Stegostoma tigrinum: one gene and its partner. The protein of the gene in region 1 purifies or fractionates together with the protein of each later gene. This does not show direct contact. Links are inferred from orthologs where the notes say so. Each region holds a gene or a part of one and is shown in the gene's direction. Other genes may lie near its edges. The genes, in order: claudin domain-containing protein 1-like and golga7.

Evidence for each region.
Region 2: the proteins of claudin domain-containing protein 1-like (region 1) and golga7 purify together in Homo sapiens (affinity purification with mass spectrometry; 3 studies listed by BioGRID and IntAct, counting the BioPlex papers as one, with this or other methods). This does not show direct contact. The link is inferred for Stegostoma tigrinum from reciprocal best matches to the Homo sapiens genes CLDND1 and GOLGA7.

The regions. Positions count from the first base shown.
Region 1 is NC_081394.1:10,804,122-10,814,534, forward strand, and holds the start of claudin domain-containing protein 1-like, read left to right. Parts: upstream 1-6,202; 5' UTR 6,203-6,304; intron 6,305-6,594; exon of another isoform or gene 6,595-6,722; intron 6,723-10,413. UniProt on the Homo sapiens protein: Plays a role in negatively regulating the permeability of cells to small molecules.
Region 2 is NC_081393.1:13,281,470-13,292,049, forward strand, and holds the start of golga7 (golgin subfamily A member 7), read left to right. Parts: upstream 1-5,898; 5' UTR 5,899-5,986; coding exon 5,987-5,995; intron 5,996-10,580. UniProt on the Homo sapiens protein: May be involved in protein transport from Golgi to cell surface. The ZDHHC9-GOLGA7 complex is a palmitoyltransferase specific for HRAS and NRAS.

The DNA.
Region 1 (10,413 bases):
TGAGGCATTGATATCCCTTAAAAATTGTCTGCAAAAATATCAATACACCTCCAAAAATCAATGGAAAAATATATAGTAAGTGAAAGAAACGTAAGGCCGGTGTATGCACACCACTGTTAGACATTATTTATGATGTGAAGGTGCTAGTTTTGGACTGGTGGACAAAGTTAGAAGTCACATGACACCAGGTTATAATCCAACAAGTTTATTTGAAACCACACAAACTTTCGGAGTGCGCCCCTTTGTCACGTGCAATGAGAGCACAGAGCACGTAGATCCAGAGTTTATAGGCAGAGAGATCAAGGGCAGAGGAAGCAAAAGATCATACAACTGTGTGAATGGAGTGTCGGATGATAAGTATCTGCAGGTGACCAAAAGTGTTAGTCAGTGAGTAAAGCATCAATAGCTGAATAACAAACATAGGGATGACCTATAATCCGATTAAATGTGGCAGAGAGATAATTACAAAAAATTAAAAATAAGGTGGTGGTGGAGACAAAGTAAATGACTGGAATCGCATGCCGAATCCAAAACTGTGCAAACTAATTAAGGTTGAGAGATCATAACAATTTTTCAAGGTGATGCTGTCAAAACAGGACAGTGAATAAGATTTAACAGATACAGAGCAGTATGGTAAGGTCACCTGTGGTGCAACATGTACCCAACATCACTGTTTAGGCCTTCTTCATGGGTATGAAACTTGGCCATCAGTCTTTGCTTGGCCGATCTGCATTGTTCTGTATCTTGAAGTCTGCCTTAGAGGGCACTTAACAAGATCGGAGGCTGAATGCTCTTGATTGCTGAAGTGTTTCCCAACTAGCAGGGAGCATTCCTGACTGTTGATTGTTGCGCGGTGTCCAATCATCCATTGTCATAGTGTCTGCATGATTTCACCAATATACCATGTCTCACTGCACCCTTGCCTGAAGTATATGAGATAGCCAACATTGGCTAAGTCACATGAGTATCTGCCATGTATATGGTGGGTGGTGTTCCCACGAGTGATGGTAGTATCCATGTTGATGATCTGACTTGTCTTGCAGAGGGTATTGTGGCAAGGTTGAGTAGTATTGTAGTCGATGTTGTCCTGAAGGCTGGGTAATTTTCTGCAAACAATGGTTTGTTGAAGATTTGTGGTTGTTTGAAGGCAAGAAGTGGAGGAATAGGGAAGATCTTGGTGAGGTGCTCATTGTCATCGACGACATGTTGAAAGCTATGAAGCTGGATGCCAATCTCGACACCTAAACCAGAGTGAGTACCTGGTAACTTCAGCTTGCCACTTGGGCCAAAGGACCACATTGGTGGACATCGGGCACCAACACCTCAGGGCACAATCCTTGGGTACAGGCCACATACACCACACTCCTTTGACACGGACTTTGGCATCTGGCATGTGGCAGTTTCTTAAGACCCTCACGGCACATTTCTGATTCACTTGTCCCTGCACTTCAAAGTCACACCTCAAGCTGCATCAGCAACTATCATTGCAATGATCCAAAAAGGACACTCTGTGCTCAGGACCATGAAACCAGCTCATGGTCTGGACTATCATGCCATTTTCTTGCTTTCTTAATGTGCACTCACTCCAAGACAATTCCGAAACTCCCAGCATTCCTGCCATGCCTTCGTTTGTCTTGCCCGTCAACCAAGGGTACCAGCCTCAGTGCTGCATTGCTGTGCTGCCGAGCACAGACATGATGCCAGGAAGCTTGTCATGGTTGACAGCAGTTCTCAGTCAAGGGAGGTAGCTTTCAGTCAGGAGCAGGGGCTTGAACATGGTCAGAGATCTTTGCAGGACAGTCAAGAACCTGTCTGCCTAAGAGGTGAGGAGCTCAATGTCAAATAGTCCACTAACCTCTTCGACTCTTTCTGCCTTTCTCTCGTGAATCTTTCCTCAAATGCTTGAGTGGCAGGTATTAAAGTAGGTGAAAGTGGGTGGCACAGTTATTGTTTTTGGCACAGGTGCGGAGGTATCCTGAGTGAGTGGGCAGCACAGGGGGACAGTGAAGAGATTGCTGTATTTGGGTTCAGTGTGCTGAGAGTGAGTGAGCGAAGATAATACAGGTGATAGTGAGGGTGGTCAAGCATGAGCCTTGAAACAGAAACAGAAATTGTTACCAAAAACTCAGTAGGTCTTGTCGCATCTGTGGGGAGAAAAATCGGTTAATGCTTCCAGTCTTATAGCAGACAGTGAAGGCAGTGACCTAAAAATACAAAGAAATTTTCATCAACTGGGTCAATGGGTTGCAGAGTGGGAAATGCAGTTTAATTTGGGTAAATGCAAGGTAAAAACAAACAAGAGCCGGACTTATGCAATTAAAAGTTGGGCCTGGTGTAGTGTTGTAGAACAGACAGACCTAGGGGTTCAGGTACATAATTCTTTGAAGTTTGCATCACATAGGGTGGCTAAGAAGGCGTTTTGCATGCTTGCCTTCATATTTTGGATCTTTGAGTAGAGGAGTTAGGAAGTTATGTTGAGGTTGTATAGGGCATTGATGAGGGCCCTTCTGGAGTCCTGCATTCAGTTCTGGTCACCTGTAAGAGAAAGGGTACTATTAAACTGGAGAAGGTTCAGAAAAGATTTACTTGCTGGGAGTTATGGGGAGAGCCTGGATTGGTTGGGACATTTTCCACTGGAGCATAGGAGATTGAAGGGTGACCTTACAGTAGTTTCCATAATCGAGAGGGTTTAGATGAGGTGAATGGAAGCTGTCTTTTCCTGAAGGTGGGACATTTTAAGACTAGGGGGCATATCTTTAAAGTGAGAGGATAAAGATTTAAATAAGATGTGTGCGGCAGTTTTTTTTTACTCAGAGAGAGGTTAACATGTGGAATGAACATCCAGAGGAAGTGGTGGATGTGGATACAGTTATAACATTTGGAAGATATTTAGATGAGCATATGAATTAGAAATTTCTGGAGGGATATGTGTCAGTGCAGGCAGATAGGGCTAGTTTAGTTTGGGATTGTGGTCACCATGGACTGGTTGGACCAAAAGGTCTGTTTCTGTGCCGTGTGACTTAATGAATCTGGTGACTTAACATCAGAGGAGCTTAAACCTTGTTGGGAGGTGTGTGCAGTAGCACAACTAGACATGTAGAAACATAGAAGATAGGAGCAGGAGTAGGCCATTAGGTCCCTCATGCCTGCTTTGCCATTCAATATGATCATGGCTGCTCATTGAGCTCAATACCCTAAACAGCACCCCTGCAGGATCCCTTGTTCACTTTAGCCACAAGAGATAACCTACCTCCTTCTTGAAAACATGTAATGCTTTGGCCTCAACTGCTTTTTTTTTGGCAGTGAATTCCACAGGCTCACCACTCTATGGATGAAGAAATTTCTCCCCATCTTAGTCCTACAAGATTTACCCCTAATTCTTAAACTATGACCCCTGGTTCTCGAATCCCCACCATTGGGAATATCCTTCCTGCACCTAGCCTGGCTAGCCCTGTTAAAATTTTAGAGGTTTCTATGAGATCCCACCCTTCCAAGCTCCAGTGAATACTATCTTAACTAACTCAATCTCTCCTCATTTGTCAGTCCTGGCATTCCCAGGAATCAATTCGGTAATCCATCACTACTCTCCTTTAGCAAAAACATCCTTCCTAAGGAGACAAAAACTACATAATGTTCCACATATGGCCTCACCAATGCCCTGTATGATTGCAGCTAGACATCCTTGTTCCAGTGCTTGAATTGTCTAGCTATGAAGGCCAACATTCAGTTTGTCTTCTTTACTGCCTGCTGCACTGGCATGTGTACTTTCAGTGACTGGGGCACCAGGACACCCAGGTCTCATTGAAATGAGTGAGTGCAAAGTAAAATGGGTGAGAAAACAGTGACATCTAACACTGGCAGAGTGGAGAAGGGCATTGACCTCCCACCGACACCACAGATTGTACCAACCCTGGGCTGCAGCCAATGTTTCCTTTAATATTAATCTGCTGGCCTGGGAGGTCTGAGGGGAGCTGTGGCATCTGGAAGTGGAGGCCAATGTTTTGGCATGCTGATCAACACATATAGAACTTTTAGCAGTGGCGGGGCTTGGAGGTAACAGTGCTGACAACCTCAGACTGGGCTGCCAGAGTCTGGTGTGGCACCCTCCTATGTTGGCTCTGGGGGGAAGGTGATAGTGCGTCTCCATGGCACTCCCTCCAGGGTCCTGTCCATAAAGCATGAAACCAAGATACCACCCCACGCCCCACACCACATCTGGAACAAGCATGGGGAAATGAGCAGAGCAAACCCAGACTTTTTAAGGATAGCATCGGTGCCAAAGTTTCTGGGATTTTCCCGCTCTGGCGAGATGTTTTGGGAACACCACATCCCAGAATTGGGGGCGAGAATCCATGGAGAGATGCTCAGTGGGTGTGAGATCAGTAGGGAAGAGGTGGATTTATTAAGAGGGGACAAGAAAAAAATCACTGGGCCAAGCACAAACACTCTGCCAAACATGACAAAACTGACACTTGGTCAAAAGCAATGAAAGATTTTTGATCCCAAAATGCTTGTTGCTGCGCTGATCCTTGTGGAATACCACTTCCTGCCTTCTAGCACTGTGAATAAACTGATATTTATATCCACCCTCTGTATTTTCTCTTGGAAAACAGTGCATAATCCAATCCAGTACTTATCCCCTGAATAAACTTTCACCAAATTTTGGTTTCTTCCCACAATCCAAAGGCATGCAGGTCACGTAGATTGTCCATGATAAATTGTCCATAGTGTGCAGGGATGTGCCAATTAGGTGAGTTAGCCATTGTAAAAACATCATGCCAATTTATGGGGATAGGGTGGTTGAGTGGGTCTGGCTGGATGTTGTTCAGAGGTTCAGTGCAAACTCAAAGGCCTGAATGGCCTATTCCTGTGTGGCAGGGACTCTGCGATTCTAAGTTATTCATCAAACTTAAACACAGAACGTTTTTGGGAAATTATGTTTTCATTTCATTATTTGTTCATGGGATGAATACATTGTTAGCTCGGCCAGCATTTACTTATATTTTATGAATAACCCATCACTTCGTTAACTAATTAAAAGAAGCAACGATTTACAAGCACTGCAGCCAACGCAATAACAAAATAGTAACAATAACAAAAGTTAAGAAAGGGTTGGAAGGGAATACATTAAAATGAAGCTGGATGAGGAAATAACAGATCTAAACACTTCCTGTTGTGCCCACCTCTTCCTAAATGTATTGAGGGCATGGGTGGACACTAGATGTTCCCTCTCCAAGGACAACTGGGCAGGAACATAATTGTGAAAGAGACCAAGTCAACTGGGAACCACAAAGCCCCTCCATGTCCCGCTGTCTCTCCGGTTGATGATAACATGAGCCAGATCCGGGCAGAGCCACTAGGTGGTCCATTGCCTTGTCCTTCCCCATCCACATCGGGCGCACAAATATTAACAGCATGGAACTGAAGTGACACCAAAAGAACAAAAGCCAACATTTTGAAAAGGACTAAGGAGCGCAATTAACTACAGCCAACATAGACATTGCCCAAAGCTGCACAGAATAAATAGTCAAGGCCAGAATTTATTGGCTGCCCTCAAGTTCCCATAGGGCAATTAAGAGTCAACCACTTTGCTGGAGTCTAGACTAGGTAGAAATGACAGCTTTCTCTCTCTAAATGACAATCGTGTTTTACTTGGCTTTCTATGACAATTGACAGGGTTACCATTAGGCCAGATTTTTACTGAATTCAAATTTCACTATTTGCCATGGAGGGATTTGAATACATTAGCCTGGTATAACACAGAAATACAGTTAATCAGGGGTTTCTGGATGACCTGGTTGCTGTAACTGCCGTTGCACTACCACAACGGCCCCAGACCTCTTCAGTTGTTCTCCCCTGGGTCCGTGGTGGGACAGCTGGCAGTTTTTGTAGATCTGAAACTAGAAACTCAAATAGGTAAGGCTGGCGTGTGGTAAGTGGGATGCGGTGGAAACCAAGAAATGGGTGCATGCAGGCCATCTGCAGCTTGTTCAGCGCGTTACAACAGGGCTGCAAGGGGGCGGGGCTGAAAGGGACAGGGTGGAGCTGAGTGTCAGGGGCGGGGCTAACCACCGGGGGCGGGGCTGAAATGGAGACGATGGAACGGGGTCACAGGGGGCGGGGCTGGGAGGGAGAGGGCGGGGCTGAAAGTGCGAGGGCGGGACTGGGCGACAGGGGCGGTTCTGAAGGGGTGCGGGCGGGGCGGAGCGACAGAGGCGGCGGAGCGAACATCTGCGGATGAGAACGAGAAGGCGCGGCTCAGTTTGGGCAGGCGGGGCGAAGATCGAGGGCCAAGGCTCAGCGGGTAGGGGTGGGGATGTGGCTGGGTGAAACAGCTCGGCAGGGTGGGAGAAACAGGGGCGCGAACGGAGTTACGGGGGTGGGCGGGGCGGAAGCAGATGGGGCGGGACTAGAATTGATGGCGCGAGACGGAGACGGTTGGGGGGTGCGGTGACAGAGCGAAGGTCGCGGCTAGGACTGAGGCGGGCGGGGGTCAATGCTGCTGGAGCTGGCGCGGGCGCAGAAAGCGGCGGGTAATGGGCGGACGCCGACCTTTTGTCGTCATCGCTGTGAACTGACGAATCCGAAGGGGAGGTTGGAAAGGGGCGGGGCCACGTTTGTGGCGCGATTACGTAGCGTTACCGGATGTTACGGCACAGCCGGAAGTGGATGTGAAGGCTGGTGGTTGAAGATTTGGAGAGAGGGCAGGTAGGAGTGTGAATGTGAGTATGAGTGTGAGTGTGAGATGGGGCTTAGTGGGGTGTCTGTGGACCGCTTGAGATGGGGAGGCTAACAGAGGTCAGCTTGCACGGTCCCGGTGTGGTGAAGGTCAGGACCCCTGGACGTTGTTGAACAGGGAGGTCTCTTCATTATCAGGGAAGCCCCATGGTGGTTAGTTAAGAGTAGATACTTGACCATCAAGAGCGAGAATCGGTGGTTTGTTTTTTTTGTCTTTCCTCCCTGCTAACCTTCCCAAACATGAAAAGAGTTGACGAAAACAAAATCCAAAGAACTGTGGACTTCTCAGTTAGCGTTTTGAGACATTGGCACCGTCGCCTTTCAATCTGAGAATTTATGCTTGAAATTTGGTGACTGTCTCAAATGCAGTTGTTCAGTAAAACAGTCGTCCACAGCCACGACTGTAGATTTTCAGTTAGTGCTCGTGTATGCACACAGAGAAAACAAAACAAAGAACTTCGGATGCTGGAAATCTGAAACAAAGACAGAAATCGCTTGCAAAACTCAGCAGGTCTGGCAACATCAGTGAAGGGAAAACAAAGTTAACGTTGTGGGCTCAGTGACGGTTCTTGAGATGTGCATTTGGATTTGTGTGGAGATTTTCACAGCTCTGCTAGCTGTCGGAATGCAGGAAAACTTCCTTCAAGAAGGGTATAAATACACTGGAAGCAGTTCAGTGAAGAGTTCCTAGACTAATACCTGTAATAGGTAGGTAGAGGACAGGCCTGGCTTACATTTGCTGAAGATTAGACAAGTCAGAGGTGACTTCTTTGAAGCATTTAAAATCCTAGGGTTCTTGAGAGGATGAATGTTGAAAGGATGTTTCCTTTTCTGGGCGTATCTTGAACTAGGCTCTTAAAAATTAAGAGCTTGCTAATTTATACAGATCAAGAGATTGTCTAAGGAAAACAGTGGTGCTGAATCTTAATAAATGAAACTGTGGAGATAGGCCTTGATAGGCTGGGGAGAGTTACTTAAAGGGATGACATGGATAGGCAATGGCAAACATTGAAGGAAAGCATGGGGGAACTGCAATGACATTTATTCTTGTCTGGCAATAAAACAGTATGGTTAACAGGGGCAATCCATACCTTACAAAGGAAATTGGAGATAGTATCTGATATAAGGACGAAGCATACAGATTGACCAGAAAAATAATATGTCTGAGGATTGGGAACAGTTTAGAATTCAACAGAGAAGGACCAAGGAATTGATTGAGAGAGGAAAAAAACAGTATGACAGTAAGCTTGTAGAGAACATTAAAAAAGTGGCACTAAGTTTCTGTAGGTTTGCGAAGACAAATGTAGGACACCCTTTTTAGAAACGGGGGGATGTATAATGGGGACAAAGAAATAACTGATTACATACTTTGGTTCTGTCTTCACAAAAGAGCACAAATCAGATATCAAAAATGTTGGAGAATGCAAGAACAAGTGAGAGGGAAGAATTGAGGGTGATCAATATTAGTGGAGAAATGGTGTTGGGAAAATTGATGGGATTGAATGGTGGCTAAATCCCCAGGGCCTGATAATCTCGATCCCAGAGTACTTAAGGATGTGGCTTGAGGAAAAAGTGGAGAAATTGGTGGTCATTTTCCAGGATTTTATAGATTCTGGAACAGTCCCTGCAGATTGGAGGATAGCTAATGTCACTCCAGTATTCAAAAAGGGAGGCCGAGAGAAACCAGGGAATTATAGACCAGTAAGCCGAAATTAGGACAGGGAAATGTGCAGTGGGACCTGGGCATCCTTGTGCACCAGTCTCTCTGAGAACTCTCGCCCCCATTCATCTGAACTCCAGTGAAAACAATTCTAACCGCGTCAATCCATCAGTCAGACCCAACAACCCTGGTAAACCTGCGCTGTACTCCTTAACAGCAAGGGCATTCTTCCTCAGAAAAGGAGAAGAAAACTGCATGCACCATTCCAGGTGTGGCCTCACCAAGGCCCTGCGTAACTGCAACAACACATCCCTGCTCCTGGACTCAAAACCTCTCGCAATGAAGACCAACATACCATTTGCCTTCTTTACCGCCTGTTGCAACTACATGCTTACCTTCAGTGACCGGTGCACAAGGATGCCCAGGTCCCACTGCACACTCCCCTGTCCCAAATTACAGCCATTCAGGTAGTAAACTGCCCTCTTGTTTTTGCTTCCAAAGTTTAGAACTCACATTTATCCAAATTATACCGCATCCGTTATTGATTTGGCCACTCACCCAACCTGTCCAGATCATGCTGAATGTCTCTGCATCCTCACCCCAGTTCACCCTCCCACCCAACTTGACAGTGTCAAAGCAGGGAGGACATTCCTAACGGTGGGTGTGACCAGAAGTAAGGGTTAGATTCTGAGGATGTGGGATAGACCCTTTAGGACTGAGATGAGGAGACATTTCTTCACCCAAAGAGTGGTGAGTTGGTGGAATTTATGGTCACAGAAAGTAGTTGATGCCAAAATATTGAATGTATTCACGAGGTGAGTAGCTATAGCACTTGGAGCGAATGGGATCAAAGGCTATGGTGAGGAAGCAGGATTAGGCTATTGAGTTGGATGATTATCCATGATCATGACAAATAGTGGAGCAGGCTCAAATGGCCGAATGGTCGTCTCCTGCTCCTATCTTCTGTATTTCTATGTTTCTGTTTCTTGAAACTGTTCCTAAATGGTGGTGGAAACAAGTATCTTGGAATATTTTCAATGAAAACAGTCTATAAAACTCTGGTTAGACCACACTTTGAATATTGTGTTCAGTTCTGGTCACCTCATTTTAGGAAAGATGTGGAAACTTCAGAGAGGGTGCAGAGGAGATTTACCAGGATGCTGACTGAACTAGAGGACAGGCCTCATGAGGAAAGGTTGAGGGAACTAGGGCTTTTTCCATTGGAATGAAGAAGGATAAGAGGTGACTAGATGGAGGTTTACAAGATGATGAGAGGCATAGATAGAGCGGATAGCCAGAGTCTTGTTCTGAGGGCGGAAATAAGTATTAAGAGGGCACATAATTTTAAGGTGACTGGAGGAAGTAATAGGGGAAATATCAGAAGTAGGTTCCACATACAGAGAGTGGTAGGCATGTGGAATGCACTGCCTGCAGTCGTAATGGAGTCAGACGCTTCAGAGACTTTTAAGCGACTCTTGAATAGGCACATAGAGGATAGTAAAATGTAGGGTATGCAGGGTAGATTGGTTTTGGTAGGATAATAGGTCGGCACAACAACGTGGGCCTGTACTGTGCTGTATTGTTCTATGCCTGTGCACTTCATAGGAGCTTTACAGGTCATGGCACGACATAAAGTTTTGTGCAGAGAAATTGGATCAGTTGGCTGAAAGCTCGCTGAGAAAGGGAGGGAAAATGAGCTTTAGAGGAGGAGAGCAAGGTAAGGGGAGTGAATCCCAGAGGCATGGAATGGCTGGCGATGTTGCAATTAAAATTTGGGATGCACAAAATGACAGCAGTGGAAGACCACTGAGATCCTGGTGGCTTGTAGGAGCTATAAAGCCCCGGTACACATCATAGAATCATAGAATCCCTTCAGTGTGGAAGCAGGCCATGTGGCCCCTTGAGTCCACATCACTCTGTGAAGAGCATCCCATCCATCCTGTTCCTCTTACTTTGCATTTGCATGGCCAATCCACTTTAGCCTGCAGACCTTTCGACTGTGGCAGGAAACCTGA
Region 2 (10,580 bases), on another chromosome or scaffold:
CCCCAACTCCGGTCTATCTCCAACCTCCTCTGAGCCCAGCAGGAGTCGTTGCCTCATCTGGTGGGTGGGAATGCCAGAGTATCTGCCATGTAACTGGGGAGGAACATTTTGCAGCTATCCAGTAAGCCTTGGAGAGTGGGGATTGGGGAACAATATGGTTTAGTTGCAGGGACCAGAATTTAAAAGGGAACATTCATTTTTCTGCTTTGATTCATCCAGGGCTTTGGATAAAATTGCTCAAAGGACTTCATGGGATTTCTCCTGTAAGTTTAACATAGGACCACTTGGACTGAGTGTCCTTGCCACCCAAAACTTGAATTAGCAGACAGCTAGATTGAAGTGGGTAAAAACTGGATTCAGTTCCCAGCTCAATATCAACTTCCCTGGTCTGCTGGATAATAGGCGCTGGTTGTGGGGGTGGGATGGGTGATGGAATTGAATGCAGTTCTCACCTCTCCTTGCATTTGTTAACCACACTGTTTCCTTCAAAAACACAAGCTCCTGGGATCCACCAGACTGGGGAAGTGAAAATTGAGCTGACAAGGATTGTCATTCTCTCCATTGATTTACATGTATTTTCGCACATTTGGAGTCAGAGTGGCTTGAGTTAGAAGATATAAAAAAAAACAATTTATAGTTGCTGTAATAAAAATAGAAAATACTGGAAGTCTTCAACATCTGAGGAATAAGAAACAGAGTTCATGTTTAAAGTCGAGTATAAGAGGTCTTCATGACTGAATTGCTGAACGTTGTCTCATCAATGAATGCAAGTTTACAGAGACTAGCAAAAGAACATGTGGCACTGTGTGGAAAAATTTAATGGGCCAAATGGTCTTGTCCTTTGTTGTACAATGGGACAAGTTACATGATTTGAAGTGTCCCAAGGCAGTAGACCGAAGCAGTGTCCTTTCCAAACCTGAGTGGAAATGAAATAGGGTAAAGCAAAAAAAAAGTCACAGAGTTGTGTCAGATTTCCAGGGCTCATAGGATGCATCCTGAAAAACACCAATTTCCTTTCTTTGAACAGTTATGTTGGACGTCGTACTTGGTGATAGTTGACCTGTGAAACAACCTGGCCACCTAATGCAGCATCGGAGAAATTTCTCATTTAGTTTCAATTTACAATCTGTGATTACAAATGCGAATAAACTATCTGTTGTTATTTATCTGATAGGATCAGCTGGACATGGCTCCCGAGCATGATCACCAAGTGCTCCCTCCTGGAGTTACAGTGGCCCCGGAGGAAAAGCTGTTTTATAACAACAGAGGTATTGTGTCAGGTCACGTGCAATATATTATCGAAAGTACTGGTTCATGGTGACTGAACAAGACTGTGTTTTTGTTACATACACCAAGAATTCATATTAATGTCCAGGGATTAAATTCCATAAATTTTAAGTTGTCCACAAAAACCTAAAACTGATGCAAGTGATTATTAATATTGTCTCCTTTATGTATTTTGAGAGAAATACATGGGTTTGGATGAGAGATAATGGGAACTGCAGATGCTGGAGATTCCAAGATAATAAAATGTGAGGCTGGATGAACACAGCAGGCCAAGCAGCATCTCAGGAGCACAAAAGCTGACGTTTCGGGCCTAGACCCTTCTTCAGAGGATGGTGCCTTTTATGAGCGAAGGACATCTCAAAGGGCTTTGCAATCGACAATTTCTTTTTTCAAGTGTTGCTGTTGATTCATGCATCACAAGAGAAGGTGGAATCTATTGACTACATAAGAAGGAGAAACATGACTTTTTTTTCTTGTGTTATGTTTCCTTAGTCTACCTCAAAACTTTTGTGACCGTTCTGTCAAGTGGTGTTTTATACACATCTCAATATTAAAAAAAACAACAAATGAAAGCTCTCCCAGACCAATCCAAGCATCTGAACCTCATCTTCAACAGCCTAATGCTCTGCTTGATCATGGCCCTAGTTGAGGCACCAGTGTCTGTCAATTTGTGCTCTGCATTAGCCAGGGGATTAGACAATGCAGTCATGAACCAGGGTCGCAATGGATAGCCTCTAAGGCTGCCAATATAATTGACTGTGTAGTGTTTTGCCGACCAGTTCATCCTTCCCAACATTGACAATCTACAGCTTTTGCTGAGTGCCCAACGGCATTCTTGAGTTTGGAGCCATATGGAGTGATATCTTCTCCATGAGGACATTGGTTAGACCTCTTTTGGAATACTGCATTCAATTCTGGTCTCCCTACTTAGAGATGTTGTGAAACATGAAAATGTTCAGAAAAGATTTAAAAGGGTGTTGCCAGGATTGGAGGATTTGAACTATAGGGAGAGGCTGAATGGACTGGGGCTATTTTCCCTGGAGCACCGGGAGGCTGAGGGGTGACCTTGTGGAGGTTTATTAAACGATGAGGGGAATGGACAGTGTGAATCGCCAAGGTCTTTTTCCCAGGATAGTGGAATCCAAAACTAGTGGGCATAAGCTTAAAGTGAGAGGGGAAAGATTGAAAAGGGACCCAAGGGACAATATTTTCACTCAGAGGTTGGAGTGTGCATAGAATGAGCTGCTGGAGGAGGTGGTGGAGGCTGGTACAATTACAACATTTACCAGGCATCTGGATGAGTACATGAACAGGAAGTGTTTCGAGGGCTGTGGGCCAAATGCTGGTCATTCAAGATATCTGGTCTGAGTGGATGAGTTGGACTGAAGGGTCTGGTTCCTTGCAGTACATCACTCTGACTCTATAACTCTAATTAGTTGCACGGCATTGTGGCTCCGTGGATAGCACTGCTGCCTCACAGCACCAGGCACCCAGGCTTGATTCCTCCCTTTGGCCACTCTATGTGTGAGTTTGCATGTTCTCTCCATGTTTGTGTGGGTTTCCTTCAGGTGCTCCGGTTACCTCCCACAGTTCAAAGATATGTGGGATAACAAAGTGTGGGGCTGGATGAACACAGCAGGCCAAGCAGCATCTTCGGAGCACCATAGCTGATGTTTCGGGCCTAGACCCTTCATCTGAAATGGGGGATGGGGAGAGGGTTCTGAAATAAATAGGGAGAGAGGGGGAGGCGGACTGAAGATGGATAGAGGAGAAGATATATGCGCGCTAGGTCGATTGGCCATGCTGAATTGCCTCAAACTGTCCAGGAATGCACTGGCTAGTTGGACTAGCCAAGGGAAATGCAGGATTGAGGATTAGGTAGCAGGGTAAGTCTAAGTGGGCTGCTCTTCAGAGAGTCATTGTGGACTCAATGGGCCAAATGGTCAGCTTACACTCTACAGGGATTCTCTGAGTCTATGAGTGAATATCATGGGTAGTGTTTGACACTACGGATGCTAAAACAGACCTTTGCACCCCATTTGCCCAGTCTATTTGCACACAGTACATGGTCTTATTGTCAGCTGCAGTTGTCCAGAGGACAGCACGGAGCCAGGATGATGAGGACACATTCTGCCCTGACTCTATCGCAGGGTCCACCTACAACCACCAACCAAGACTGGTCCGAGCAGTAGAGTCACATCTTCAACAGTTCAAAGCTCTGCTGCATCAAGGGTCATGGTTAGCACATGAGCAGCACCATACCAACTCTCCACATCAGTCAGGGCAGTGTGCAATGGTGTCATGACTCATGGTCTCTGTGGGTAAGCCTTGTCCCCCAGAATGTTCTTTGGAGGATTACTGCAGACCCATTGGCCTGAATGGCCTCTTTCTGCACTGTAGGGAATCTATGATTTTCTGACACCCTCCCCCTCTCCATCCCAGACGTTCAACCTTCACTGTTCAGTGCAGACCATTGTTACACTTACATGGCATATGATGAAGCAATATTTTGTGTATTATGCAGAGCCCTTGGAATTTGCACAGTTTCCCTTCAAGCAGCGTTAGCATTTTGTGATGCCATTATTGCTATCTTCCCTTGCCATGTCTTACTGTTCCCAGCTCCCCTACGATTCATCTCATGTTTCTTCCCATCACAACCTCATCCACACCACTGTAAGTGCCTCTGCTTTCCCAAACTAGCCTTGATTCCTCCACTCCTGTTGGCAGTGATTCCTTCCCTTCCAGAACAGGGCCCCCTTGGATTTCCCAAATGGTGAATGAATGAACTCCGTGGGCTTCATTTGCTTCAGGCCTCTGACCAACTTTAACTAACAGTCCCTGGTCTTTGACTGACCAGGCTCTTGAGTGCAGTCCTTGCAGCTCCCTGACTAACAGTCTGCAATTAATGCTGACAGCTTGTGTTGGCACTGCAGGACTGACCGCTACCCACTCCCTAACTACACTGGGGCAGATTCCCTGACTGCGAGTGTCCCAAGCAGCTGACTGACCATGGCCAAGCCCCTTGAGTGTGTGCAGACTGTATCCCTAAAGTAACTGACTGACCGACAGTGACCCCCCCCCCTTTGACTGAACTGAGGATCATATGGTCAAATAAATGTGTCATATGAATGCTATGCTTGCAGCTGGTGAAAGCTGTAGTTTTCTTGGTTTACCATTCACTAAGATCCCCCACTCCCTGGCTCACTGGACAGTTTCTGACTGCTAAATGTGACAAACTGTGTGTGTGTGTGTGTGTGTGTGTGTGTGTGTGTGTGTGTGTGTGTGTGTGTGTGTGTAGGCACGCGTGTGTGCATGTCTGTGCTCAAGAATACCTCAGTATGGCTGTCCTGACAGCCTTTGGCTCTGGCTGACCACCCAGCAGTCTAATAAGCGTGGCATGACGAGGTAATGAAAGGGATAGTGGTGCAAGCGTGCAGGTAGACGCTAAGTAAGGGAACACTTTCAGAGCAAGCAAGCAGTCCTGAGATGCAGCCTGGTCCAACTGTTGAGCTGTGTGCCTGTCTGTGCGCAAAAATTTCCTGTTGCAGATTTGCAAGGCTAGTTTTCAGTGCTCCCTGCAATGGAAGTGTGTGGCCTGCCAGTGTCTCAGAGAGTGAGATGCCAATATGGTTGTGGGTAAGGTTTGGGTGTGGATGGTGCCCGTGGATCATGCCCTGAGATACAGATTGGCTGTAGCATTGGACAAGACGGGTTAGATGAAGGAGGGATGTACCCCAATTTGGGGAATGTCCAGAACCAGGGTTGATAGTTACAGGATAGGGAATAAACCTTTTAGGATTGAGATGAGGAGAAATTTCTTCACTATGAGCGTGTTAAGCCTGTGGAAGTTACGACTACAGAAAGTGGTTTATGTCAAAACACTATATGTTTGCAAGAAGGAGGTAGCTATAACTGTTGTGGCAAAAAGAATATGGTAGCGGCAAGCATGGGATTAGGGTGTTGGCCTGAATAATCAGCAATGATCATATTAAATGTCGGAGCAAGGCTCCAGGGTCAAATGGGCTACTTTTTTTTAATACTCCAATGTAAACAACCCGGAGCCTCTTCGGAGCAAGCAGAGGGAAAAATCTACCAGGTACCCATACTGATTTTCATGTCAGATTTTCTCAATCTCTTGCTTATATAGTGTATTTGAGAAGATAGAAAATTGAATATTGATGAGACATCAACAAGCAGTTTCACAAATAAGCGTTTCCCCTCAATGTGCAACTTTTTTTCATGAGTGGTTCCCTCTGGGTAGTCGGGGTTAATGGTCTGTTTCAGGGCTGCTGAGAAAAATTCAAATGTATGCCTCCACTCGTGTAGGAAAGCGTGTGAATGTGAACGTGTTTGAACAATTTGTACCAATCTGAAGGAAAAAGTGAGAACAATGTCAATGGTATAATCTGCAAGAAGATGGGGTTTATGATTTTCTAAATGGGCTGCACAGGTTTTTTAGGGTTTTGTTATAACCATCTTCCAGACTATTTTGCCGACTTATGCAAAATGTAAAATAAAATAAACTGACACTACGAGGATGACCAGCTCATTGAAGAGGTTTATGATATGAAGGATCAAACAATGCAGAAGAAACATGTGTAGTACTAGGCTGTAAGCTCTGAGAGGGGGGGGAACCTTTTGTTCCAGGCGGAACTCGGATCGTGGGAGCCAGTAACCCGGAAGCAGGCGGCGGCTCAAGATGGCGGAGGTAGGAGGAGGTGGTTCGGTGGAAAGGTTTCTCGGATTCTGTGGGCGGGTGGTTTGAGAGCTGGGGGCTGGTGAAAGTGGCTCTCGCCGAACCCGAGAAGGGGTTCTTTGGGGGATGGGCGGTGGCCGCGAATTTTGTGTCTGCTCGGAGGCTGGCGACTCCTCTGGTGCCTCCCGGAAACCGGTCCGCCTCTACTCTCCCAGCCCCAGCACCCTTCAGGAAGCGCTTTGTTTATTTGTGTCTCATCTGTCTGTCGTGGAAGTAACAGTTTACTTGATTCACCGATTTATTCCAAGGGGTTTTGGGAAAGGGTGTGGTGGAGGGTCGGGGAGGGGAATGTTTGAGCGAAGTGGGTTTCTGGGGTTGGGATGACGAAGGGGAAGAGGGTATGGTTTAAGAGAAAGGACCAGATTGGATGTGGAAGAAGGGGGAATGGTTGGTGGGGTGAAGGGAAAATTTGATATAGGGTTGGGGTTCCTGAGGGGAAGATGTTGTGGAAAGGGCCGTGCGTTTCCAATCGAATCAGTCATCACAATTTGAGCATTCAACCCCGACGTACGGCAGAGGTCTGCCCCTTTCCAGTGAATATACAGACTCCTTGGTCTCATTTTTGTTCAAGAAGCAGAGAGTGCTGTCCCCAGAAAGCTAGCCAATATTTGTTTCTCAGACAGTATTCCTTGAAAGTAAACAAGCTGTTTGTTATCCTATGGCTGACCTTGGAAGCCTGCTGTGTGTAAATTGGCTGGCCTTATTTCATGGCAATAACTTCACTTCGAAAGCCCTTCATCGGCTGTGGAGTTGCATGAATGAAGCTCAAGTCTTCTTCTTTTTGTGTTTCTTCGTGGTGAGCATTTGTTGTTGGCCCCTAATTGTTCTTGAACTGAGTGGCTTGCTGGGCCATTCAGAAAGCAGCTCAGAAACAACAACATTGCTGTGGGATAGCAAAGTGTGAAGCTGGATGAACATAGCAGGCCAAGCGGCATCTCAGGAGCACTGTGCTCCTGAGATGCTGCTTGGCCTGCTGTGTTCATCCAGCTTCACACTTTGTTATCTTGGATTCTTCAGTATCTGCAGTTCCCATTATCTCTGATCACAACATTGCTGTGGGTATGGGATTATCACACCACATTTAGTGAGATTGGCAGATTAGTATGCTGAGTGACATTTGTGAATGGGGTGGGTTTCAATGATACTTGATGTTTGATTTGTCATCAATCCTCAGCCTAGTTTTCAACACTAGATCTTTTTATTTTGTTTTTAAAATTGAAGGCAAATTCCTCCATTTGTCATGGTGATATTTGAAACTCCGTCTCTAGAGTTTTCACCTGGAGCCTGCATCCCTCATCTAGTGACTTTCTGACAGCCTCTTTCATTCTCTCCCTTCTCCCCCCCCCGCCCCCCCCATTTGTAACATCCTTGTTTTGTATGTATTTATCAGGATGTCGCTGAATGAGTGTCATATCACAAGAATTTACTTTTTAAAAATAGGAGCACCTAAAGGAAAAGTAGATGATGTTTTCCACATATTAATCAGATTTGAGGTTACACTTCATTTAGCAGTCAATGGCCACAGTGGATTCCAGATGCTGATAGTTAATTCAGAGCATTTTATTTAGGGAAAGAAAACTTGTTTGCTTTACAGAGGTAACAGTGTGGAGCTCAATGAACACAGCAGGCCAAGCAGCATCTTAGGAGCACACAAGCTGACGTTTCGGGCCTAGACCCTTAATCAGAAAAGGGGGATGGGGAGAGGGTTCTGAAATCAATAGGGAGAGATGGGGAGGTGGATCGAAGATGGACAGAGTAGAAGATGGGTGGGGAGGAGACAGACAAGTTAAAGGGGCAGGGGTGGAGCCTGTAGAGGTGAGTGCAGGTAGGGAGGGGATAGGTCATTCCGGGGAGGATGGACAAGTCAAGGGGGCGAGATGAGGTTAGTAGATAAGAAATGGAGGTGCAACTTGAGGTGGGATGAGGGGATAGGTGAGAGGAAGAACGGGTTAGGGAGGCAGGGACGTGCTGGGCTGGTTTTGGGATGCACTGGCAGGAGGGGAGATTTTGAAGCTAGTGAAAACCACTCTCTCCGTGACTCCCTTGTCCGCTTCACACTCCCCTCCAACCCCACCACACCTGGCACTTTCTCCTGCAACCACAGGAAGTGCTACACTTGCCCCCACTCCTCCTCCCTCACCCCCATCCTAGGCCCCAAGAAGACTTTCCACATCAAGCAGATGTTCACCTGCACAGCTGCCAATGTGGTATACTGCATCCGCTGTACCCATTGTGGCTACCTCTACATCGGGGAAACCATGCGGAGGCTTGGGGATTGCTTTGCAGAACACCTACACTCAGTTTGCAATAAACAACTGCAGCTCCCACTTGTGAACCATTTCAACTCTCCCTCCTATTCCTTAGATGACATGCCCATCCTGGGACTCTTGCAGTGCCACAATGATGCCACCCGAAGGTTGCAGGAACAGCAACTCCTGTTCCGCTTGGGAACCCTGCAGCCCAGTGGTACCAATGTGAATTTCACTAGCTTCAAAATCTCCCCTTCCCCCACTGCATCCCAAAACCAGCCCTGCTCGTCCCTGCCCCCCCCCAACCTGTTCTTTCTCCCACCTATCCCCACCTCCCACTTGAAGCTGCACCTCCATCCCTACCTCCTAACCTCATCCTGACCCCTTGACTAGTCCGTCCTCCCGGGATTGACCTATCCCCTCCCACACCTATACTCAACTCTACAGGCTCCATCTCCCCCCCCCACTTTAACTTGTCTGTCTTGTCTCCACCTATCTTCTCTATCCATCTTTGATCTGCCTCCCCCTCTCCCTATTTATTTCAGAACACTCTCCCCATCCTCCTTTTCTGATGAAGGATCTAGGCCTGAAACATCAGCTTGTGTGCTCCTAAGATGCTGCTTGGCCTGCTGTGTTCATCCACCTCCACGCTTTGTTATCTCGGATTCTCCAGCATCTGCAGTTCCCATTATCTCTGTCAACGCTTTTTTTTTTGCTGATTCACTGCTGCAACCTTTTACTGAAAATGTGGCAAATGTGCAAGAATGTGGCATTTCTCTGAATTGACATGGTGCTTAAGTTTTAGTGGTAGTTCTTGTTATTTTCCCCCTGTTATATGGGTGCAAGGTGCAGATTGGAAGTTAAGTGAGGTAGAAAATAGAACAATATAGCGCACAACAGGCCCTTCGGCCCTCGATGTTGCGCCGATCTGTGAACTGATCTAAGCCCCTCCCCCTACACGATCCCATCATTATCCATATGCTTATCCAAGGACTGTTTAAATGCCCCTAATGTGGCTGAGTTAACTACTTTGGCAGGCAGAGTGTTCCACGCCCTTACCACTCTGAGTAAAGAACCTGCCTCTGACATCTGTCAAATCTATCACCCCTCAATTTGTAGCTATGCTCCCCTTGCACAAGCTGAAGTCATCATCCTTGGAAAAAAGCTCTCACTGTCCACCCTATCTAATCCTCTGATCATCTTGTATGTCTCTATTAAATCCCCTCTTAGCCTCCTTCTCTCCAATGAGAACAGACCCAAGTCTGTCAGCCTTTCTTCATAGGGCCTGTGCTCCAGACCAGGCAACATCCTGCTAAATCTCCTCTGTGCCTTCTCCAGTGCTTCCACATCCTTCCTGTAATGGGGTGACCAGAACTGCATGCAGTATTCCAAATGAGGCCGCACTAGTGTTTTGTACAGTTGCAGCATGACATCACGGTTCCGGAACTCAATCCCTCTACCAATAAAACATAACACACCGTAAGCCATCTTAACAGCGCTATCAACCTGGGTGGCAACTTTCAGGGATCTATGTACATGGACACCAAGATCTCTCTGCATATCCACACTACCAAGAATCTTTCCATTGACCCGGTATTCTGCCGCCTTCTTATTCCTCCCAAAGTGAATCACCTCACATTTATCCGTATTAAACTCCATTTGCCATCTTTCGGCCCAATTCTGCAGTTATCCAAGCCTCCCTGCAACATTCTTCCACACTGTTCACCACTCCACCGACTTTAGTGTCATCTGCAAACCTACTAACCCATCCACCTATGCCTGCGTCCAAGTCATTTATAGAAATGACAAAGAGCAATGGTGCCACAACAGATCCTTGAGGCACACCACTTGTGACCTGACTCCAGGCTGAATATTTTCCATCAACCACCACTCGTTGCCTTCTTATAGAAAGCCAGTTTCTAATCCAAACTGCTAAATCTCCCTCAATCCTGTGTCTCTATATTTTCTCCAATAGTCTACCATGTGGAACCTTATCAAAGGCTTTACTGAAGTCAAGTCTATGTACACCACGTCAACTGTCCTACCCTTATCCACATGCTTGGTCACCTTCTCAAAAAACTCAGTGAGGTTTGTGAGACACGACCTGCCCTTGATGAATCCATACTGACCATCTCCAATCAAATTGTTGCTTGCTCGATGAATATAAATCCTATCTCTTATAATCCTTTCCAAAACTTTTCCTACAATAGATGTAAGGCTCACAGGTCTATAATTACCCGTGTCATCCCTACTGCCCTTCTTTAACAACGGAACAATATTTGCAATCC